2 linked regions of the Oryctolagus cuniculus genome follow. The protein of the gene in region 1 interacts with the protein of each later gene in a biochemical or structural test. Links are inferred from orthologs where the notes say so. Each region holds a gene or a part of one and is shown in the gene's direction. Other genes may lie near its edges.

Region 1 (4,231 bases):
GGGGATGGGTCAGGCCTTGTCCAGGAACCACAAACTTCATCCGGGTCCCCACATGGGTGCAGAGGCCCAAGGATTTGGGCCATCTTTGCCTGCTTTCTCAGAAGCATCTGCAGGGAGCTAGATTGGAAGTGTTGTAGCCAGGACTGATGCCTGTATGGGATGCTTTAACCATTATACCACAACACGGGTCCTATGAATTCCTAGATTCTAAATAACTTTCATCATGGTATATTTTCTGAATTTTATTTTCCTATTCATAATTGTTGTTAATATCTTACTGTGCCTCATTTATAAAATACTTTATCAAAGGTATGTGCATATAGGAAAAAACACAGTATATGTAAGATTGGGTACTCTGTGTATTCAGGCCTCCACTTGCAGTCTGAGAACACACACACAGACAGAGACACATGCACACACACACACCAGTAATGGGGAACTGCTGTAGTCACCTCTGTAACTCCTCTCCTGCTGTTCTAGTCCAAGGCTGTATCAGCATCTGCCTGGGAGAACCCTGGTACTCTCTCTGAAGTCTTCACGTCCATTTGTGCCCCTTCAAATGTGTTCCCCCAGGAACTGGACAGTGTCTTCCACATGCTAATATGATCCCAATGCCTCTACTCCATCTCTGTGTGTGTGTGTGTTTTAAGATTTATTTTAATTTGAGAGTCAGAATTACAGAGAGAGGGAGAAAGAGAGAGACATCTTCCATTTGCTGGTTCACTCCCCAGATGGCTGCAATGATCAGGGCTGGGCCAGGCCAAAACCAGGAGCCAAGAGCCTCATCCAGGTCTCCCATGTGGATGCAGAGGCCCCCCCCCCCCCCCCCGCTGCTTCCCCAAGTAGTTTAGCAGGGAGTTGGGTCAGAAGCGGAGCAGCCAATGGAGGAACCAGTGCCCATGTGGGATGCCTATGCTGCAGATGGCGGCTTTACTCGCTACGCCACAGTACTGGTTGTTCTACTCCATCTTTCACTTAAAATACTAAAGTCGGGCACCTTTACTCAAAATTTCAAGGGTTCTTGCTGTATATTTAGATCAGAATTCTAAATATCAGCTGCTTATAAATGAAACAGGCAACATGGTACAGTTTTCAGCCTGTATTCAGTGAGAGAAATACACAGGAAAGTGAGGGTTTTTTTTTTTTTTTTTTTTTTTAGGGGAAAAGAAGTCTAGAGTAGAAAGAAGTCTAGAAATTAAGTTGGGTTGATATCAGGCAGAGAGCAGGTAGGGAACCAGGTGGAGCAAGTGTGCAGTTAGGAGCAGCCACAGGTAATGTAGCGTGGGCAGAAAAGCAGAGAGCAGGCAGCCAGAGGCCACAAGCCCAAGGCTTAGTGAGGTGGAATAAGGCCATGCCAAGATGGCCGCTGGCAAGTGAGTGTCAGTTACTCAGGAATGGCTTTGAAACCCACCTGGCAATGGAGCCTGCCGGGCAACAGGCTGTGATTGGTTAGGGCATAGACCGCCCCTTGACCGGATTGGCTGCCTTGGCTATATAAGCTGTTGTACCAACTGAAATAAATGAGCCTTCGGGCTGCTCACCTCTGGCCCACTTTCACCCAACTCTCAGGGTCGTATGGTGACTTGCGCCTCTTGCCCCCACCACACTCCTCATCTCAGAACGAATCCATAGCAACAGCGTGGGACAACAAGGGGCCACTCCAGCTTTCTTTTGGTTGCTGTTTGCATGATACGTATTTCTCCATTCTTTAACTTTCATCCAATTTCTATTTTTTAATGTAAAGAATGCCTCCTATAAAGGCATACAATAGGAACATAGTTTTTGTTTGTTTGTTTGTTTGTTTGTTTAATGCTATATAGCAACCTCTGTCTTTGGATTATTTAATACCTTTTCATTTAATGTTATCATTGACTTAGTTGGATTTATTTATGCTATTTTACTTTCTGTTTTCTATGTTTCAGGTCTTTTCTGTCCCTCTAATCTGCCCTTCTGTGTTTTGGAATTGTTATTTTTGTCATTATTTAGTGTTTGCCCCAGATTTACCGTATACATATAATCAGAAGTAGGTTCAAGTTTATACTAGCTAGTTGCAGTTATTCCTGTATACCTGTATTCTCTCTTCTTTTCTTTTGTGGTATTTTACACAACATATTTAACATTAGTTAATGTTACACACCTAACAGGACATTGTTATAATTATTTCCTTACCATTTGTTCCCATTGTCTTAGTCAAATACAACTTTATTTCCACTCACTGCCTTTGTGCTATTATTGGAGGTTTCACATGTATTACATTCCTATATGTTACGGGCCCAACATTCCATTTTTTATACAATAAGTTAATAAGAGAAAATATTCACTTAAATTATCTTTTACAACTAGTTATAAAATTATCTCTCTGGTGCTTTTTGCTTTGTTTTGTTTGTGGATTTGAACTACTGCCTGGGATCATCTGCTTTCATCTGAAGAACTTCCTTACGTGTCCCTGTAAGACAGGTTTGCTAGCGTAACTTCTCTACTTTTTGCTCCCTTGGAAATGTTTTTATTCCACCTTCATGTTCATAAGACTGCTCTGCTGAGTAAAGGATTTTTGGTTGCAGCTTTTTCCTCTGGGAGGTTTGACTGCAATTTCCAGTGCTGCTGGTCCTTAATACTTTTACTGAGAAGTCATTGTTGACCTTACTGATGTTTACTGGTAATTAAGGAATTGTTCTCTTGCCCCTCTCCCCACCTGCCTTGTCTGACTTTGAACTTTTTCACTGTGATGTGTCTGTTGTGGATCTCGATGTGTTTACCTACTGGGACTTCGCCGAGCTTCCTGGGTGTGTAGCTTCCTGTTTCTCAATATATTTTTGAAGCTTACTGCCATTAATCCTTTGAATAGATTTTCCCCCCTTTGTCACCTTCCTCTCCTTCCAGTATCCTTATTTTATTGGTCCCACATTTCTCTGACACACTTTTCATTTTTCTATTCTTTCTTTCTGTTTCCCTTGGCTTTGTGTAGTCTCAATAGATTTATCTAAAAGTTAGTTTATTCTTTTTTCTACCAGTGCAGATTTCTTCTACTGTGGGGCCCCTAATGAAGTTATTTCAGTTACTATACTTTACAGTATTTCCAGAATTATGCTGTCCAGAATTTCTATTTGGTTTATTTTTATAATCTCTGCTGCTTTATTGATATTCTTTATTTGATGTAACATCAAATAGATATTATCATTGTAACTTCCTTTACTTTGGTTATACTTTTCTTTAGTTCTGTAAACATGTTTATAATGGCTACTTTGAATTCTTTCAAAATGATAAATCCAACATCCGGTCATTCTCACAGGTGGTTTCTGTGCTGGATTTCCCCTCGCCCCTGCTCCAGTGTGTGGGTCGTATTCTCTTGTCTCTGCGCGCCTCATAATCGTTTGTGAAAGCAGGGCACTGAACATAATGCACTGTAACAGCCCTCAGGACTGGTCTCTCCCCAGTTACTGTTACAGACTGTCCTGGTCTTCTGATGATTTGACTTAACACTTTTCTGGCTTTAGATATACAAAAGTGGTATGCATTTGAGAAGCAGCTGTACTTCAGATTTCGAATTTTGATCTGTTCCTAGGGTGGCAATATGGAGTACAATTCTCTATCATGATATTTTCAACAGTAGTAAGCCATATCTCCCACTAGACCACGGATCACAAGGGTATACTGCACTGGGTTGCTAAGCTGTGATGGTTGGTAGGTTAGATGTATTAAATCCATCTTGACTAATGATAGTTTCAACTTTTGGTGGGTTTGTAAGATAAAAACCCTATCATAAATTGAGAAGCATCTGTTTTTGCTTGTTTAGTGACTGCATTACCTGAGGCAAATTCACTGCATACCACCAGCACCACACACAGTTTTAGTTTTTTAAAGTTGTCACCTTGGATGGCAGTGGCTTCTGACAGAGCTCTCTTCCTCTGGTTCCCTGACCACCTCCAACTGTTAAACTCCGCTAACTGCTGGCTTTGTTCCTTTGTTTTTAACAGTACCCTGGATATAAGTAACTATATAAACAAATCCAATCAAATGTGTACTCCTTTGAAGGAACAGGTATTAGTTGTTTCATATTTTATTTGTTCTTATCCAAGAAGGGCTCCCCACCCAGCTGTATTTTTTAAATTATTTATTTATTTATTTTTTATTTATTTATTTGAAAGGCAAAGCAACAGAGACAGAGGGAAAGATGAATGGGAAAGAGAGAGAGAGAGAGTTCTTTCATCTGTTGGTTCACTCCCCAAATAGC
Region 2 (4,285 bases), on another chromosome or scaffold:
AGCTGGATGCAACCCCCCCACCTTGGTTATCTCTTCTTCACCTCAGCTAGCGCTGTGGGGGGGGGGGGGGTGGCATGGGGAGAGTGGCTTAAGCCCTGCAGAGCAGGAGTTGCCAACAGGGAGGAACTTCCACGGCCACGCACAGGCCTAGCACACAGCCGGCACCGGGCAGATACCCAACTCGCGCAGGTGCGACAGCCACGCCCCCTGGGCATCACCACCGTCCCTGTGCGCCTTCCACATCCCCCCGCCCGACTGTCCCGTGAGGCAGCGACTTCCCACAGTACGCGGCCTAACAAACGGCCCCGGATTCAGCTGGTGCACAATGCATCCTCCCTGGATAAAGGAGTCCCTGAAAGTCCAGGAACTAAACTCCCCTCGTCTACCTCTTCCCATGCCCTACTTCGCTTTTTTTTTTTTTTTTTTTTGAGTTGCCAGGGTCCCGCACACGAGAGTCATCCCGCCAAGCAGGGACTCGGGGACCCAAGAACCGTTTCTCCGTGTTCAAGCTCTGCTCCAGAGAACTCCCGGGTACCCAACAGATGCCTCTGTAGGAGATGACCCGGGAGACCCTCCTCGTCGCCAGTCTTGGGAGTGTGAACTCTGGGGGGGAGAGGGCTGGGGGCTTTTCGTACAGTAGATCGGCGTCTTTCCAGGAAAGAACCAGCCAGGGGGCCTGGAAGTTCAACTTTCCCGCTCCACAACCCTTTTCTCCTACCAGCCTGAGACCCTCCTTCAGGGCTGCGGGCGAGGGAGCAGGCTCAAGCGCGGGGTCTTGCACACCACGCTCCAGGGCGCTCTCCTTCCACCCCGCACTGTCTCCGCCCTGGAACAGGCCTCAGGGCTCCTCCGACCCCGAGTGTCCGGCTCGTTCTCCCTCTGCCCTCTCCGCACGCCCGGCGCGCTCTTCCCGGGCCCGTCCCGCGGCGCCCTCACCCGTCTCTTTCGCCTCCAGCAGCCCCTTGCCGCTCTCAACACAGACCCTCGGTTCCAGGCGTGTGGGACCCCTCACTATCCACGCCTCCCATTGGGCGGCGCCTTTACCCGTAGTGGCCAATCAGAGCCGGCAGCGGAGGGCACGCGCCCTTGCGCCTGCGCGTTGGCGCTCAGGTGGGGCTCTGCGAGTTTCTCCACGCACACAGTCGTGCCCTGTGGGCGGGGCCCGGGCCGAGGCGCGGCGCCTGCGCAGTTCTCCCGGGCCGCTCCTTCGCTGCCGAAAGTTCAGTCGAAAGAAGTGGGCGCCCGTGGGCCCGGGGCGGTGGACGCGATCAGAGTGTGTCAGGTCGGCTGGAGAGACTGGCTCTGGGGCCAGACACACGTGGGGTACTTCCTCTCTCCGGGCCTGTGTTGCGGACTCACATCCACGTCAGAAGCCGTTGACGGGATGGAATGAAACCACACACGGAAAAGGGCTCGGCAGAGGGCCCGACAGAACCCACCGAACACGGCCATGCTCGCCGCAGTCGGCGAGGTCGCTTTCCCGTTCCCCGAGGAGGCGCCCGCTCCGTGTCCGGCCAGGGGCCATCCCGCAGGCGTTCATGGGGAAACTGAGGCCCAGAGGGGAGGGAGGGGCTCTTCCTAGTACAGCCCTGCACCCCAAGCAGCAGTCACGTCTGCCGCCTCCCAGGCGGAAATAATTCCGGGGAGGGGACACGACTCGACCTTGAGTCACTAAGTGGGGGCAGCATTCGCAGGCCCGGGGACGCGGGTCCCCCCGCCGGACCCAGGCTCCTCAGTGCAGGCTGGGGAGGGCGCGACTGTGTGACTCCGACTGCGGGGTCCACGCCGACCCTGTGCCTGGGGGAGTCGTGGTGAGCGCCACCGGGAGGTTTAGTCGGGACGGCGGGGTTCACTGCGCTTTGTCTCGAACCCGAGATGGGCGATTCCTGGTCTCCATCAGAGGGTGGAGGTGGGGTTCCCCGGTCGGGGTCCTGAGCCCCCACAGTTAAGAAGCAGGCTCCTGGCTGCCATGAAGAGTGGGGGAGGGTCCAGTGGGCGCAGCTGGGGAGTTGGGAAGGCCCTTTGCCATGGGCAGCAAGGGCAGGAGTAAATGTGGGAGTCTAGGTGGTGATCAGGAGGGGTGCTGCGCTCCGTGAGATGAGTCATCCTAATACGGCGTGATGTGGGGGCAACCAGGACCTGGTGGCTCAAGTGATCGGCTGGAAGCGGGGACCCTGCCCCCAAGGTGCAGGACCCAGCCCAGCGGCGGCGCAGGGCTAAGCTCTCCGATTGCGCATGCGCAGCACAGGCGGGCCAGGAAGCTTCGGTTGGGGGCGGGTCAGGCGGCCCGGGAGGGGCGGTGCTAGGAGGCTTCATTCTGCGCCTGCGCGCACGGGGCGTGGCTGTCGCACCTGCGCGAGTTGGGAGGCGGAGGAGGGGCGAGATGACGCAGGCGTAATAATAGAGAAGGTGCCAGAAAGATCCAAAACAAGTGGCTGCGGCCGTCGCCCGGGAGTCCTCGGACGCCGGAATCCGGTGAGGATCGGGCGAGGCCTAAGGGCGACTGGTGGCGGGGTAGACGGAACCCCCGGGGCCCTGGGGAGAAGCCGGGACCGCCCTTGTCGGGGCGAGGGAGTGGGGTTCGGACGGTACCACCTGTGCGGGACGTAGGGCTGCCTCGGTCGGTCCCACTTGGAGGGGGCCACTTGGGTGGGGCTGTGGGGCCAGTCGCACGGTACTGCTGGACCGAGCCGAGGGACATGTCCGGACAGCAGTGCTCAGAGTCGGGGCGATAGACGGGGTGCTTTGGAATGGGCCCTGGGGCTGGTTCGGGCCGAATCGCTGGGTCGGTCTGGAGACCAGTACGGAACGTACCACTTGGGGAGGGGCGTTCGGGCTAGGCCGGCCGGACTGGTCGGCGGAGGAGCGGGGTCCGGCGTCTCGACCTGTTACTAGGGGACCTCGGATGATACCACTCCGTCCCGGGGGAGGGGGAGGCCGAGACGGTTGGAGGTGCGGGGGCGGCCCTGCCCTGCGGCGCGGGGCGGGGGGGCTCGCTCTGACCGGTGCGAGGTCCGTGCCCCTGCGTCGCTGACCACCGTGCCCTCTTCTCGCCGTGTGGGTTCTAGGCCCTGGTTCTGAGCTTGTCCTGCACCCCTCCCCCGGTAATGGCGCTGTCCGGGCCGACCCCGGCCCCGAGCTGGGAGGAGGATGAGTGCTTAGACTACTACGGGATGCTGTCGCTTCACCGTATGTTCGAGGTGGTGGGCGGGCAACTGACCGAGTGCGAGCTGGAGCTCCTGGCCTTCCTGCTGGACGAGGCCCCCGGGGCGGCCGGAGGCCTGGCCCGCGCCCGCAGCGGTCTGGAGCTGCTGTTGGAGCTGGAGCGTCGTGGGCAGTGCGACGAGAGCAACCTGCGCCTGCTGGGGCAACTCCTGCGCGTGCTGGCCCGCCATGACCTGCTGCCGCACCTGGCGCGCAAGCGGCGCCGACCAGGTAGGGGCGAGTGGGGGGGCAGGCTTCCGCAGGGCCCCGCTGTGGTCTTGTCTGTCCATCCCACAGCTCCAGTCCTCCCAGCAGTGCCAGTGAGAGACGCGAGAGGGAGGAGACAAGGCTTTGGGAGGGGTGAGCTTGTGGAATTTGGCTGCATCGGTAATAAAGATTGTGACCACCGTAGTGGAGGGCACGGTGGTGGCCCAGCCCCTTACGTCCTCAGTCCTGCGCTGGCCCCGCTGTGCAGGGGCAGGAAAGACCCTGCTCAGAGAGGCAGTTTGCCCTCGTAGGTGTGGACACAGGGTGGTGGGGCTGAGGTGTGTGTTTCATGAAATTTGTATTTAGTGGGGAACCAGCCAGTAAAACAGACGAGGAACTTGTTTTGAGGTGGTTTTAGGAAGCTTGAAAGAATAGAGACAGTGGGGAGTGCAACAGAGGGAACAGAGGCTGCGCCAGGTGGGATGAGCGTTGAACGCCTTTCAGAGAAGGTGACGGCTGAGCTGAGCCCGCACTGCAGCCCTGCACAGATCTTAGGAGTTCCAGGCAGAGGGAGAGGCAAGCATCTAAGCCCGGCACACACTCGGGTGAGGAGCTGGGCGCTAAGGGGCTTGCAGGTAGCATAGCTAGGAGATGCGGGGCCCTTAGTCCCCGGGAGGGAAGTGCTTCTGGGGGCAGGCAGGCCCAGGGGCCGGAAGGGTTGCTCAGGCTGCTGAGCCCTTGTCTGGGTCACTGGAGGGGAGGGGTGGATTATGGGCTTTCCTGGGCCAGAGTAAGCCGGTGGGATTTAGATAACCCAGAGAGGGGCAGTTTTAGGGAAGGCTGACAGTGTTTTGGAAGAACTTGGGGGTCAGGC

What was found.
Region 2: the proteins of CFLAR (region 1) and DEDD2 form a complex in vitro, tested with the Homo sapiens proteins (2 studies listed by BioGRID). The link is inferred for Oryctolagus cuniculus from reciprocal best matches to the Homo sapiens genes CFLAR and DEDD2.

The regions. Positions count from the first base shown.
Region 1 is NC_091434.1:38,896,696-38,900,926, reverse strand, and holds the start of CFLAR (CASP8 and FADD-like apoptosis regulator), read left to right. Parts: upstream 1-1,134; 5' UTR 1,135-4,231. UniProt on the Homo sapiens protein: Apoptosis regulator protein which may function as a crucial link between cell survival and cell death pathways in mammalian cells. Acts as an inhibitor of TNFRSF6 mediated apoptosis.
Region 2 is NC_091449.1:12,806,284-12,810,568, reverse strand, and holds the start of DEDD2 (DNA-binding death effector domain-containing protein 2), read left to right. Parts: upstream 1-1,214; 5' UTR 1,215-2,235; coding exon 2,236-2,475; intron 2,476-3,068; coding exon 3,069-3,435; intron 3,436-4,285. UniProt on the Homo sapiens protein: May play a critical role in death receptor-induced apoptosis and may target CASP8 and CASP10 to the nucleus. May regulate degradation of intermediate filaments during apoptosis.